Struthio camelus: one gene and its partner. The protein of the gene in region 1 purifies or fractionates together with the protein of each later gene. This does not show direct contact. Links are inferred from orthologs where the notes say so. Each region holds a gene or a part of one and is shown on either strand. Other genes may lie near its edges.

Region 1 (7,282 bases):
CATGAAATAATATTTGAATTGCTTTTGGATTTCTTACAGGGTTTTGTTTTAATTCTAAAGCCTCTGAATTGGAAATGTCTCTTATTCCTTCTCATATTTTTGTTTTTCTTCTAAATAACTTCTTGGTATCGCGCACAAAATGGAATGTAAAATGCTTAAGTGAGTAATTTGTTAAGCTCTGACTAGAATGTAAAAAAGAAACAAAAACCCCAACATTGTCAATAATTCAATTTTTAACTAAAACATTGACTTGTAGTAGAGAGAACAACAACTTGTTTTAGTTTTCTCACATTTTCAGGTTTTCATTAAAAGACACAAAAAGGGTCTTATCTACTGTGAGACCTTCACGTACTTCATGATGATACTATTCCAACTTAATTCCCACTGACACCTTCCCACTCCCCCCTTTTCTCTCCCCTAAAGGAGGGTGTTTTGCCCTCCTCTGACATTTGAAGCCGCAGTACCATCTTCCTACAGGGCTGGTTTTCTGGGCTCACACGCAGCTCAGAATTATACCGAGAAGACTCAACTCAGTTTAGGAAACTTTTCATGCCATGCCACCCACACAAGAGTCTGGGGCTTTCCTCACCTCTTTGGTCTTGGTATACTTCCCTTTTTTAAGTCGGGTGTCTCCAGCCACTGTGGCAGTGGGTGGCCTGCAGGCTTGACTTGTGACTCTTTTGATTTACTTGATGCAATAAGCTGATATACAGATGCCTGGAAGGGTTGTCAAGGTATGCTTGCTACACCTAGAAATTAAGCAGCTTTTGTGGGCTTGAGAAACTCAAGTCCAGGCTTGAATTTTAGGTCCTTTACTTGGCTGTGTGGGTGCTGCAACATTCCCGTAAAGGTTTTCCCCGGGGTAAATATCAGGATTCTTCCTTCTTCAAAACGAGCAGTATAACAGTGTCAAAGTGTGTGTTAGCGGCTGTACGACTGCGGAAAACTGAAGCGTCTCTGCACTAGGTATTTGCAGCCTCTGTAAGGCTGCTGTAACTTTATTGCCCACGGTGCTTGAGCGTTTTATTCGCAGGCACAGGGTAACGCAGGCGGCAGAAAGGTCAGAGCATGATATACCCCACGAAGGGGGCAAGCGGCGCAGGCAGCTGTGCTTGGCAAAGCCGGAGAGCAGCGCAGCGGAGCGATGTTTTACTGCAGCTCTTTGCAGACTGGAGGCGCAGGAAGGCTGGCGCCCGCTCTCGGTTAGCAGTTCTCTTTGAAACAGGCAACGGATGGACAGTTCAGCGCTGGTGGGAAGGTTCAAAAGGAGACCGTTGCACAGCGATGATCTAGGTCATGCTTTAAAGCGTTTGTTTAGGAGAACACATCTATGAAATGGGGAAAAAACAGAGAGAAACGTTAAAAGGCTGTGCACAGTGCCGGTTGCCGTTAGAGGCTGAAATTTTATTTTCAGAGCATCCTATTTAGGAAAGAATCCGTCGTTGCTTCAAATGTATTTATCAGTCTGCAGTAATTTATGCCATGTATCTTTTGCTTCCATGGCAGATTTTTGTGGAAGAACGCGACTGTTTTGAGGTTTGGGCAGGTCAAGCCCTGCGCTTTCAGAAGAGCCCTCTGTGAAAGCACACTGAACGCGGCGTGTGTTTGCGTCGCGATGCTACGGCCCCTTGCTCTGTGCTGAATAATTCGGATGAAAGTAGCTGGTGGGAAGAGTATCAGGGACTACAAATAATTCGATCAGATTTTGGGAGGGTATTGGATAATGTGGGGCAGCACGCAGCAATGGGCCTCTTTGGCTTTGTGCCCTCCTTGGGATAGGGCTCCAGTGGCAGATAATTCTCATGAAATTTCCAGAAAGCAACAAGGAGTCACCTAAAACCAGATGAATATTCCCTGCAAAGGGATGGTGCTGATAGGTTTGAACTCAGAGGACAAAAAGTGCTTCCCCCTCCCCCCACTTCTTTTTTAAACCTTTATTCATTTTTAGCAGTCAGCAGTGAGAAAGAGGTCTATGCAACAGTTGCCACCGGGAAAGCTGCAAAACAGCGTGATCCCTAGGAAGCTGCCAGTATTTAGAAAAAAAAGAGTTTGTTGCATCCAGCCTAATTTGCACTTTAGAAAATTCAGTGAGAAGTTCACATAGCCTTAAACTTTGCATGTGTGATATCCCTGCCCCACAGAGGAAGCCAGCACCCTTTTCCCCACACGGGAGAGTGTTAATAGCTGTGTCCGATGGGCAAACGTGGGTTCAGAGCATTTTTACGTGCTTCTGGCTAGTGGTCAAACAGAATTTGAAAGCCGTTACCGCATCCAGTGATTTTACTTAATAGCTGGTGTGGACGCCTGGATTGCTGGGAGCCGTCTCGGGATCGTCTGGAAGCTTATTGAACTTCTGATTTGATCTTGGAACTGCCGTCCCATTTAAATAAAGGATAAGCATTAGTCAAGAATGATTAACTTAAATTATTAGATGTTTTAAGATGTCATGTGCTTCTTCAGTAAGCAGCCTTTGAAAATTAAAATAAAGGTCATCAGGCAAGCCCAGTTCTGTGGTTAATGCTTTTTCCTGGTTTGATTTGATCTAGTTATTTAGCTCAGGCATTTATAACCTTCTAAGGGGACAGCCTATCAAGTGTACATCAAGGGAAAACAATTCTGCATAGCACACCACCTACTCATGGCTTGGGATTTATCTGGCACCATGAAAATTGGCTTGGTTTGGGCCGTTGGGTGAGAAGAGGCAGTCCTGGCTGCAGCCGGTCTGGGCTTCTCTGATGGGTCTGGCACCAGGTGCCCTGAGGACCAGGAGGAGAAGCTAGGTGGAGATGTGCAGGATCAGCTGCTGAGCACGTGAGCAGATGGAGGAGGAAGAAATAGGATGTGTTCAGAAAACAGGCAAGCAGAAGCAGCATGTACTCAAAAGCTAAAATCACTTTGTGCCTGTGTACATTTAAACCATGTAAGCTTTCTAATGCTCTGTCCTATCCCCGAGTAAATTATTACAGGAGGCTTTAAAAACACTGAGGTTTCACAGATGCAGCGTGTTGATGCTCCAGTTATCTCCTGTTTCTCAAACAAATCTGAAGGCACTGTTGTGCTCTGAGCTCAGTGCTCCCTTTTCAAATGACAAAATGTCAAACTGCTATCTCTCTCTCTTTTTTTCTTGTTGTAATCCTGGGTCCTAATTAAGCGGTAACTGTAAGAGCAGTAACTGCAGCAATCATTTCTCTTTGCACTGATCTAATCTGAAGCCTTGAGCAGCTGCAGTAGTTATGCTACGAAGGATTTTTCCCCTTTGGCATATACTGCGCAGGCTGTCCCTTGACTAGGCTACAAGTGCTTGGAGGCTATTGATTTTTGTTCTGTTTTATGAGAGTGTTTTTTTTAAACAGTTTAATTTCTCCTGCTTGCGTTTGAATTGTTGGGTAGCGAGAGAAAAGTATTTATGCATCTGATTACCCGTTTATCCAGTCAGAGAAGCTCTAGGATAACTCGAAAATCACTGGTTTCTGAGTGCCTGCAGATCCTGTGCTCTGTTGCGTTGCCCTCGTCCTGTCACATCGTAAAAAAGGTATTGCTGTAAACGTTAACAGGGTTTCTTAAGGGGAAGCGTCGCTGCCGGGCGGCTTACAAACATCCCAGAAACACTGCACGTATGAAAATTGCTGTACTATGGAAATAACCGAGATTTTTCATTAGCCCGATTCGGGCGTGTTGCTAGGCAACGCGGGGTAACGAGGGTTTACGTGGGCTCCGCCTGTAGATACTTACAGTCCTCGTGCGCCTTTCCAGGTGAGTAACGTAGACTTGAGGTAAGCTAATCGATTGCAACAGAACAAAAAGTTAGACCCCCGCAAACTTTAATTTCACTAAGAGGAGCTTTTGGCGGAAGAAGCTGGAAAAGACCCAGAGCTGACGTAGCCTGTTTGATTTCTTTTCCCCTTGCGCTCGGACCAGCCTTGTGTTTAGGCAGGCTTTTGTTTCTGCCTGCGAGTTGCTTTAAAAATTTGGGAGCGTGTCTCCGGGTGTCGCCGGCGGTGCGCGCAGCTCAGCTGGCTCCGTTTCCTTGCGAGCGCTTTGTCCTGCCCACCACGCGCAGGTCGGTTGTGCAACATGCCCCTACCGTTTCAGGGGGAAAAAAAAAAGAGAGAGAGAGAGAAATGCTGAGTAATGCCAGAGGTTTCTCAAATGGCTGATGCAAACCTGGAGAATTTGCATCATCATTCAGCTGGAGTAACTTGGTATGACAAGAGCTTAAATACAAGTCCACGCGGAAGCCGAGCTGGTTTCCAACGATAGGGCAGGACCAGCCAGCAGCGTGCAAGCGCAGGTGTTGCTGAGCAGGGCTCCCCCGACCGCAGGCACCGGGAGCCTCCTACCTGGGTGCAGGGGCAGCTACAGGAGGCAGGCACCAAGTGGTTCGTTTCACACGGAGGAAGGGAGGGGAAAAAAAAAAAAAACACCACCCTAACAACGACCCTGAGTTTGTGCTACAAACTTTTTGCCTGCGCTTGCCTTGGCTGTGCTGGGGGCACTGTAGCATGTTCAGGAAAGCTGCTGTGACTGCAGCCTCTAATGGAAACTACTGGCGGGGGCAACCCAACGGCAGGCTGCCCTCCCTGGACAGCGAGCAGCCGGCCCAGGAGGAGAAAGTGGTGCTGAAGCAGAAGGTGACGCTTTTGAGGGGGATATCCATCATCATCGGCACGATCATCGGCGCCGGCATCTTCATCTCGCCCAAGGGGATCCTGCAGAACACGGGCAGCGTGGGCATGTCCCTCTCCGTCTGGGCCGCCTGCGGCATCCTCTCCCTCTTCGGTAAGTCACCCCGGAGGGGCCGCCGCCGGATTAGCACTGTCACCGGCATGATTTTGCCATTGGATATCGAAGTGCAGTGCTGAGCTTGAGGACCAATGGGGCTGCAGGAGTTTTTTTGCGATTGGATAGGTACTGTCCAGGGCGCGGAGGCTTGCGGTCGCTGCTACCCCTCGTGCCTCCCCTTGCAACCGGAGCCCTTTGGAGAGACTGTAAGCGCAAACCGTGTTTCTTATGGGTCCCAAAAGTAAGAGGAAAAGGAAACGTCCAGTGTTATGGCAGAAAGTGTGCTGTATGTATGATGTTTTTCTTCAGGCTGTAAGACGTAGCCTAGAGTTTGCTTGCAAGGTGCTGGGGATACGGGCCGCTCCGTTTGGACGCTGGTGAAATGTTCAGGCAGTTGGACTCAGTTCCCCCCAGGCTAGATCGAGCTCTGGGAGGAAGAACACCTGCTGGACATAATCTGTATCGGCACGAAAGGGAGCAAAACGATAATAATGACCACCCCCCCCTCCCCGAGACGTGGATTTCTGCTTTCGCTTTGTTCCCCGCTCGCGATGCTGCTTGGAAAGATTGTGCTGCAAAACGTGGCGGGACAGAAACAAACTCCTAATGAGAGTTTTATTCCTGACCTGCCTATTGTGACAGTTTTTACCAGTTTTTGCTTTTAACGGGGTATTAAACCCCGAAGAGTGCCGGTTTATTTGTGGCGCGCGCACAAAGCCCCCGTTCAGAGCGGGAAACCTCACCCTTGCTGCTGAGGAACAGAGGGTCTATTGACCTCCTTAATGAGTTAATCTCAGAGAAGCTGAAGAACTAACATGAATATTGGCTTTATTTAAAACACAGACGGCTTGTTTTCTGGCAGGAGGTAAAGAGGGCAAACACTGACGAACACGTGTCTGCTTCAGAGGTGGAACATGCAAATGCCACCCTGTGTAAATTGGCTCTGAGCTTAAAAGAAGCATTGACTGTTTAAAGGAGAAGTCCACCCAAGCCAAACAGACAACGAAGGAAAGTTAGGACCCGTTTCGGTCAAACGTTAAACGTATTAGTACGATGCACAACATAGTCTGTTGCCCAAAAGTGGAAGTCCTGCTTGTAGGCAAAATCCCCCTGTAAAGGAGGACCTCAAATGCAATTTGTAACCCTGTCGTGCGACTCTGGTGTTTAGCTTTGGTTAAAACAGAACTTGCTTAAGTGTTGCCCGTTTAGGTTTAACTTTAATAGCAGTGATTTCGTAGCTGTGAAACACAGTTTGTAGGAAAAAATCAGTCTCTTTCATCAAATGGATTTTCTAGACCATTTTCCAGATCTTGAGAGGTGAAGAACTGTACAACTCTGCCCAGTAAAAGATACTGCCTCTCACTCTAAATGGATTTTTACAGTTACGTTTTCATAATTTTTATGTCATTAATGTATTTAATTCGCTGCATGACTTAGAGTAAAATTTCATACAAAGATCACTGATCACCTGAAGTCTTGGTGAGGCTCTCAGTGAAACATAATTTGATTTCATCCTGAATCTCTCCCAAAGAAGTTGCCAAGAAAAACCCCATCAACAGGTTTCTTAAACGCGGCTATAGAGTTGCTTTAAGCACGTTTTCAGGTAAGCTGAAGAATATCAGACAAAAGCTGCCATCTTTTGCAAAGCCCCAAGCAAGGCAAATGAACACAGGTGGAATTTGTCATAAAGTCATACAGCCCTAGTGGGCTTGTACGTGCTCTCCAGTTTGGCAACTGTAGTTCTCATCTTACAGCGCAGTAGCATAAAAGCACGTAGGGAACAAAGCCTAAATGACTTCGCGTACTTTGTTGATTTTAACTCTATGCGATGAGTGTTTGCAAACTTTATTATTGTTTTCCTGTGGCTTCTCAGGCGCTCCTAATAGAGTTGCCTGCATTTATGAGACTTGGTACACCTCTGCTCTACTGCCGCGGTCCCCCCGCAGAGCGGAGCACCAGCGGCTTCGTGACTGGATGATGGCCCATTAAGCAGCAGTAGCAGATGGTACCCGGGCCAGGATTGCTTCATGCAGGCCCCTACAGCTGCAGCCTGCTGCTGCCGGCGCTGCGAGGGCAGAGGATGCAGGCCGTGCAGGTGGCTGCCTCGGGCCGAGAGCTGCTCCTGCTTCACCGACGGGTGAAACAGGCCTCCTGCTAAGGAAACGTGAAGCTGTCCATAATATTTAAGGCAACGCAGAGTTTAACTGAGCTTTGATTGCGTTAGTAGTATGCCCCCAACTGTGCAAGCGTTGAAAAGCCAGGGCTAAGCCGTTCCCCAAGTCTTCTGCGTAAGGCGTTGACAACACTGCTGAGTAAAATTGTTAATCTGCAATTCCTGCTTCAGGATTTTGGTCAGTCGATTGCTTCACCCATGGCAAAGGATGGGGCATGCAGGCATGCCAGGCTTTCCTTCGGAGCCTTAACCTGTGATCGCTAGTGCTGAAAGCAGGCAATCATCCTGTGATAGCAAGCTAACGCGTCAGAGGATTTTCACTTACCT
Region 2 (7,514 bases), on another chromosome or scaffold:
GAAGGAGACACGCGAGGTACGGGGAAACATTTCACTTAATCTTGGCTAGAACTACTAGTGGTTTTAAAAGCACTTAGTTTAAGAAGTTTTTTGTCACTTCTGTGATGCTCTCATCCCTCATTAAGCTTCCTTCTGAGGCTTCCTGTTTTCAAGGCAACGCTTCTGCTCTGTGGTGAACAGCAGTGACCTAAAGAAGTAGAAACATTTCTCCAAAGATTGTAATCTTCTGCCTTGATTTGTTGGCTCTGTCTGCGAGAGCAGTTCAAGGGCAGATATATAACCTTTCCATTAAAGGATGATGGCAGTTCAACTGAACTTTAATAAAGTCTAGTTACTTTACAGCTTTGGGAAACTAGCCAAGATACACACTGTAGGGACTATGTGAAAATAAACTGGCACAAAGAGCTTCTTCACGCTGCCTTATTTACAAATTTACATGACAGATATATAAGCTAAAAGGCAGACAGGTCCCTTCCTCTGTGACCAGCTGATAGGTATAGTAGCCCTTTCTCACAGCCTTACATCGTACTGAAGCTCTGGCCACCTCTCCAGTGCTAATAGCCCAACTTTTCTCTCTCACTGGTGGTGCCATTCTCCCTCCTTTTTTCATTTCACCTTTTCCTCTAGGTCCATTCCAACTACTTCCAGTTTTGGGGACAAAATTCTTAGAGTAGCTTTTGTGTTAATCAAGGAAAACTTTGAGAGGAATATTTTTACAAATATATAATGCCCCCAGGGGAAAATCTCCCCCAGAACCCCCATTAAGCAAGATGTCAGCATCTATATTTTCCTGGGCTCTGTTCAGACTGCTTAGACAACAAAGTTATGTCACCATCATGCGTTCACCTCACTCAGACATCAGTGACAGTACAGTTACAGCAGCACAGAACTCAGGACAGTCTGAATCAATCATTTTTTTCAGCAGCTCTCTAGATCTGGTCTTTCCTCTAGCAATCACATTAACAGTAATTCTAGGACCTTCCAATTTTGCGAAATTCTGCTATACAGAATCAAAATTCAGGAACAGGTCTGAATTTTGCTCCTCAAGCAAAGTATGTGCCAGAAGAAATGGTCAGTATTCTGTGATGCACAGTAAAGTTACTCATTTAAAAAAGAAAACCACCATCAACGGCTGTTTTGAAGTCATTACTGACTGCAAAGTCATGTCGGAATGCACCACATACCAACTAAAATATATTGCAGCTATAATCTAATAGCTTGCTAAGCCATTGAAGAAACTTCCCTGTGGCGCATAAGCTTGACATGCTTTTTGTAACTGCACTGAGGACTAGATGATGGGGTTTTCTTTTACGTCTCACTGTAAAAATGTATTATTCCCAGAGGAAGTGCAGACTCCGCTTTTTTAGGTCGCTCCTGGCAGCTTAAAAAAGGGAAAATCAGTTGAGCAAGCAGTAAAAAAAAAATCATTATAAGCCTTATACAGTATGCAGACTTGGACTAAGTCAAACTTTTAAACACATCTCAGATATACTTCATGTGCCTACAGAACCACCCGCCCTTTCTTTGAGTGCTTTATCCATCAAGCTGATCTTAGCAAGAGTCTTTTAATATCACTGATAAGTCTATTTTAGCAAGAAGAGCAAGGAGAGCCCTTCAGCTATCACAGATGGGCCTGGGACGTTGCTTCTGACACACCCATTCATGGCTTGGCCAGATTGCCACCATTATAGACTAACTTGCTGCTGCTCCAACTAACCAGATATATATGTATTGTACACATACAGACAGGCACAGAGCCCGTGGGTGACAAGCGCAATGAAAAATGTATTCTGCTGGACTCCTGGAACTGATGAGTGGAAAAATAGCGTAGAACAATAATTGTTACCCCTAACCGCAAAATGCCTCAAGGCAGCTGCTGTCACAATGAGAGCCTGTTAAAAGCATGGCCATCTCCCTCAAACACTATTGAGCCTGCACCATGTCAAATTTCAGGAGCGTTTTGCCGTTTCGGACATGCAGGTTTTATTTTTCCCCCTATATTAACATGTTTCACTTTTAAATACAAATATTTGAAGTAGATAACAGAACTACAGAAAGCTAATGGATAAACAGCTCAAGTCTGTGGTCACTTCTAACCCCTTTGGTCTGAAATATTATCAGTAAACCCCAAAGAAACTTTAAGAAGTCAGAAACAAGCATGCCTGGCATAACAGCTCTCAAAATTTCAGCCCCAGATGATTGCAGCTTTGTTTCTGTTCAGCGTGGCCACATCCAAACGTGGTATGTGTTAGCTGTTAGCTCAGCCCGTGTCTACCCAAGAATACAGTTATTGTACGCTGGGACGAGGGGGGAGGCTTTCCCCACCCCCCCTTTTCTCAACTTTCTAAAACAGAGCCAAGAGAGCAAACTACGTATGTAACAGCAGTCACATTGTTGAACTGAGCTTTACCAGAGCTGTTCTAAATTCCCTAATGTATTTCTGTTCCTAGTTTAAACTTAGCTTTAATGATCTACAATTCACATTTTATAGAACTGGAATTGCCCTTTACAGGCAATACACAGCTTTACTTGATTGTACAGCTAAGTTTCCCGTACTAAAGCATCTCTGATAACTCTTAACAAATAATAAAACTCTATACAAAGATAGACGCAAGGAAGCTGTTAGCTATCTGGCTGAATAACTGCTGCTGTCTGAGGCATAAGCTTATTAGCAATCATAAGAGTTTTCATTCATACAAAACTTACCTGTCTCTGTTAGACAAAGCTTCAGCAAGCATAATCCAAAAGTTGCCCATAAAGGAAAGCTGGCCATTTTTTTCTCAGAATTGTTTTTGCAAAAACCAGAGATCCTTGCAGGCTACAGAAAGAAGCCCCGACGCTTGTTAAGCCTGCAGTCAATGAGTCTGAAGTTTGCTGCACTTTTTATTCTGATTCAAAGAACTAAGTAATGACATAACTGGGAGGGGGAGCTCCATCAAAAGTCACACCCATAGTTGCAACAAAAGTGTCGGAGCAGTGGAAGAAAGGGAGGGGGGGAAGGCTACTTCTCCTGCCCGAGCAGCCACATTCGAGTTTTAAAGAGGCACTAAACCTCTTCGACTTACACAAGTACTGTCATGAGTTACATCAATAGCGTTTGCAGGAACATTTGTGTAATCTCTCACGAGTTAGGCTCAGAAAGGGACTATTTCTGATCTCTATTCTGATTTCTGACCTGTATTGCGAAACAGGCGAAAGTAAAGCACCACACGTTCTGAACCCCAGCAAAGCATCTACAACTGCCTGGATGCTTCCCCAAAATATTTTGCTTATTTTGTCTCATACCACTTTTTCTCATTTTTTCAGTACAATTTAGGGCAAGCAAAAGGTCTGCTCTGCAATGAACCTTTTTTTTGGGGGGGGGGGGGGGAATCTGGAGGATCTCAGATTCTCAGAGGGATTTACAGTAGGTAAATCAAGGTAGTTCAGTCTCCACAAGCTCGCTGGCTTCTTGGCACAGGCTGCTCCAATACAAGTGATACCTTATGCCAGTGCCAGCAGTAATACTGAGGACTTAGGTCTCTGATTTCTTGTATTTACAGTGTGAGACATAGAAGGAATTAGTCCTCCTACTCCTAATTCCCAAAATGAAGAAACAGGAGGAGAACGTACAATAGTGTGACTTTCGGAGAAGTTCCTGAGGACTATATGTGCATATGTTTTGTCCAAGTCTAGAGTTAGCAAAGGATGCCACACGAAATCCCTGGTGAACACCTCAAAGCCTATGTAGATAAGGGAAAGGTGTATCTGTTATGCGCCTAAGGTGATTTCTCGTAATTACTCCATACACTCGCCTCTCTTCTGAGCTGTGGAATTACGACAGCGGTTTGTGTGGAATTAGGGGCTGGTCAGGGATCACCAAACCCTTTCCATCTCACCTTTAACAACCAACACGTGGCAATGACTGACAGTCATTAGTGCCCTGTTTCCAGTTTCACTCAGCAACTTTGAAATGAAAAGCGCTGTATCATATTACCATTGTGTTGATCCTCCCACTTTTAAGGATTTTTTTCATTAATTTTTAATCGCTTTTAACACAAACAATGGAAAAATACTGACAGGTCCTCCCAACCACAGGCACGAGAACTTTACACAATGAGGATTTCAGAACTTTGACTTTTCTTTGACTTTTGTCTTAAAGATGGCTGGCTATCCTTTCCTCAAACAGGCACATTTTTAGCAACAGGTTCCAACAGGCTCTTCCTACAGGTTAGGATATCTGATGGGACACGGTTAAAGTGAAAAGCTTTCCTTAAAACATAGGGGATCTTTTTATTAAGAAGCTTACAACTTGGAAGTTGCGGATGAAACATGTTTTATTTAGTGAATATGTTAGTTTTTCATTTGAAACAAACGGCTTGAGGAGCAAAGAAAAAATGATCTATATATATGACTTACTGTTTACTGTACTGCAAAAGACATAGTTTGGTGTATTCCTGTACTTTCTGAGCAATAGCTATGTGGGTGTCTAAATATATGAATAAAGCCTAGAGGCTAGATTTTAAAAAGCACAGTTAATACATATTTTGAGTTTACTAAGCATATCTTTTTCTTCAACTGCTAAATGACTTTTAAAATTCACCCCTGTGTATGAAACAAAAGAATGGAATATTTAATTACAATTTAGATAACTTTCAGTATTGTTTTTTTGATAGAAAAAAAATTGGTGAACATATAATCCTGTATTCACAATGAAATGGAATGAAAATGGAAGTCTGTTTTCTTTACCATAGGTAAATGGAAAATAACGATCATTTCAAGGAGTTAGGCAAGTGTTACAGAGGCAAAAGTCTTATTTCACCAGGAGTGAAAATTCCTAGTTTCTCTATGGTGTAAAGCTCCTGTATTCCAGCCCTTGTGATATCAGATTATGAACAGGTTACTTTCTCAATACTAAATATTATTTAATATGCATGTTAGACATTTCACTACTTATTTTAGTGGGGGGATTCCACATTGGGGAGGAGATTGGTTGGAAAATATTTCTATTGCTTGCAGTCCTAGAAAGCTGTACGGAGATTAGGCATGTTTAGACCAGGTGCACAGATGGGTTAGCGCCTAATGCAAGAGAGACAGAGGTGCCCAAGAAAAATAACTAATCATAGTATGCATTTCATGTGATATGCCACAGACCTAAGTAATGAATTGTATGTATATAACATGTAAGTTTGCCCATTTCACGTGCCATCTGCCTGGTTATTCATTAGCCAAGGATATACGCTAACATTCCAACCTACTGAGCACTTCAAAGAGCTGCCATTAAGAAAATAAATAAAAAAGCTGACACAAAAATATGTCCTTCTTTCCCACCCAAACATGGAATTTTTCCCCTAAAATATGATGGCCTGAGGTAGACAGCAATACAAATTTAGCCCAGGCATAGTGCCTGATGCTACCCAGAAAATTTAGTCGACAGCTCTGGGAGAGGGGTACCATAGGTTTTTTTTTTTTTGAGAAGTATGTAGCTTTTCTTTTAGCTAAAGATAATCTTAGGGTATAGGAACGCATCCTAAAGTAAATCTTCAGCTGAGAAAATGCAACGCAGCATCATTTTAAGTTGAGCCCATCAGTTTATTCCCATTGTGGATTTGTTCCCGTGGGATTATTGTTATCAACACAGATTGTATATTTAAATGTTAGCGCTTTTGGAATTTGCTTACTCTCTTGGCAGTAGCAGTTAAATTAGTGGCAAGGAAAACTTGTAAATTAATAAATGGAACTAAAAGAATTTGATTTTCATAATAGAATGAAATAATACAACTAAAATGTTAAGAAACCAGCAATTTAAAAATGCTTCTTGAAGCATTTAATGAAGCCTCTGACACAGCAGATAAAGAATCTATGATGGTGTAATGTAGTACAGGAGCACTAAAATATCTCATTTGTGATTTTATCACATAAGTGAACTCTAGCCAGCACCAATTAATTTTGATAAAAATCCTATTAGAGAGTGCATGTGTTGGAGCTCTAGAAGAGGAACTTATGTGGCTTACAGCAATATAAAAAGATATTTTTGCTGGAATTCCCTTAGAGGATGAAATTCGGGACTAGCTGAAATCAAAGGCCAAAATTCTACTGTCTTCAGTACAGCAGCATCTCCCCATAATGTACGTTTGTGTGGATTTTATTATGCGCACAGACCAGTAAGTGAATGCATCTAAAATTGTGATTACAAAAATACACCAATGGAGAATGGTTTCACTATCACATTACATTGCGCTTACATTGCTAAATGTAAGCAATTTTTAGGGAGGAAGAACGGAATTCTGTCTCTGTCAAAATTGCTTAGGTTTTTATTGCAAAAACAAAAACTTGTAAAAATGAAGTTCCTAGTTTGAAAAACGTTTTTCTTTTCTATTTTTCAGCAGAAACAAAAATATTGTGATAAAAAAATTCCTTTTCAGAACATTTCTGTTTCTGAAAAGTTCAAGTTGTTCATGGGGAGCTGTAGAACATAATCTCAGCGCATATACACAGCACAGATCTCATTAGGTGACTCTGGTAGTGGCAGCGTGCATTCTGCATAGACTGCAGCTGGGCTGAGAGACTGATTGTAAGACAATTTCAAGGAAGGAGGAGGATTTTACACGCATTTAACTGCAATCTCAATAAGATATGGTATTTTTGAATCAGATTTGCTCCTGCGTCCCTAGACTGCAATCTTATTTGCTATAGTTCAGACCGGATTTAATTTTCATGATCAACCCTGAAACCAGATTTTGTAATGGAAATGGTTGTAAATGCTTCAGTGTAGCAAATCCTGCCCTGCACACTTTTTGTGGGCTCTAATTGCTGATGCGAAAGTATAAGAAGAGCCTGTACTGGTTTAAGCCAGAAAAGCTACTCTTTTGGCTGGAGGGCAAAGCGCTCCCTTGGGAAGTTGGGCACCCGGTTCTACTCCCATCAACCTTTTGTTCCCAGATGTAATTTACAGCTTGTGTCCTGCAGAGAGTTAGGAAGATGAACAATGGCTCCTAGTTGTTTACTTCTGAAAAGGGCAGCAACCCAGATTGGCACCTACTGCATGGATTCCTCAGCTTGTTTTACTGGTTTGCCCCAGATCCCTCAACAACTCACTAAACCAACACAGTAAAAAAACTCTAACAGCCAGATTCGTTCAAATATTCTGTAAGGAACTCTTTGCAGCAAGGCCCCCTTCCACTTCAAAACATGTGGCCCCACCAGCTTTCTTACTCCTAGCAAGCAGCCCAAAGCATTTGGTCCCTGACTGGCCCGCATGGCTTGCGGCAGAGTGCCGACAGGAAGTCCCAGCACCAGTCACCAGGCATAACTTTCACACCATATACCCATTTAGCTTTATTACATCACTTCCCTTCACTCAAGGGAAGAAGGGGAAATACATTTTCTCTGTGGCTGGTTTCAGTATTTCACTACCCTTCTTTCTCCTCTTCTCGTCCTTCCCAGCGCACACCACGGGATAAGAACCTGGAAATCCGAACGTCAGAGCTTGAACTGCCATCTTTGTACTAATCTTTCTGTTCGTCTGCTTTCCT

The links.
Region 2: the proteins of SLC7A11 (region 1) and CD44 purify together in Homo sapiens (affinity purification with western blotting; 3 studies listed by BioGRID and IntAct, with this or other methods). This does not show direct contact. The link is inferred for Struthio camelus from reciprocal best matches to the Homo sapiens genes SLC7A11 and CD44.

Annotation. Positions count from the first base shown.
Region 1 is NC_090945.1:32,140,477-32,147,758, reverse strand, and holds the start of SLC7A11 (cystine/glutamate transporter), read left to right. Parts: upstream 1-4,185; 5' UTR 4,186-4,502; coding exon 4,503-4,779; intron 4,780-4,935; exon of another isoform or gene 4,936-5,010; coding exon of another isoform or gene 5,011-5,068; intron 5,069-7,282. UniProt on the Homo sapiens protein: Heterodimer with SLC3A2, that functions as an antiporter by mediating the exchange of extracellular anionic L-cystine and intracellular L-glutamate across the cellular plasma membrane.
Region 2 is NC_090946.1:34,247,373-34,254,886, reverse strand, and holds the start of CD44 (CD44 antigen), read right to left. Parts: upstream 3,051-7,514; 5' UTR 2,774-3,050; coding exon 2,707-2,773; intron 1-2,706. UniProt on the Homo sapiens protein: Cell-surface receptor that plays a role in cell-cell interactions, cell adhesion and migration, helping them to sense and respond to changes in the tissue microenvironment.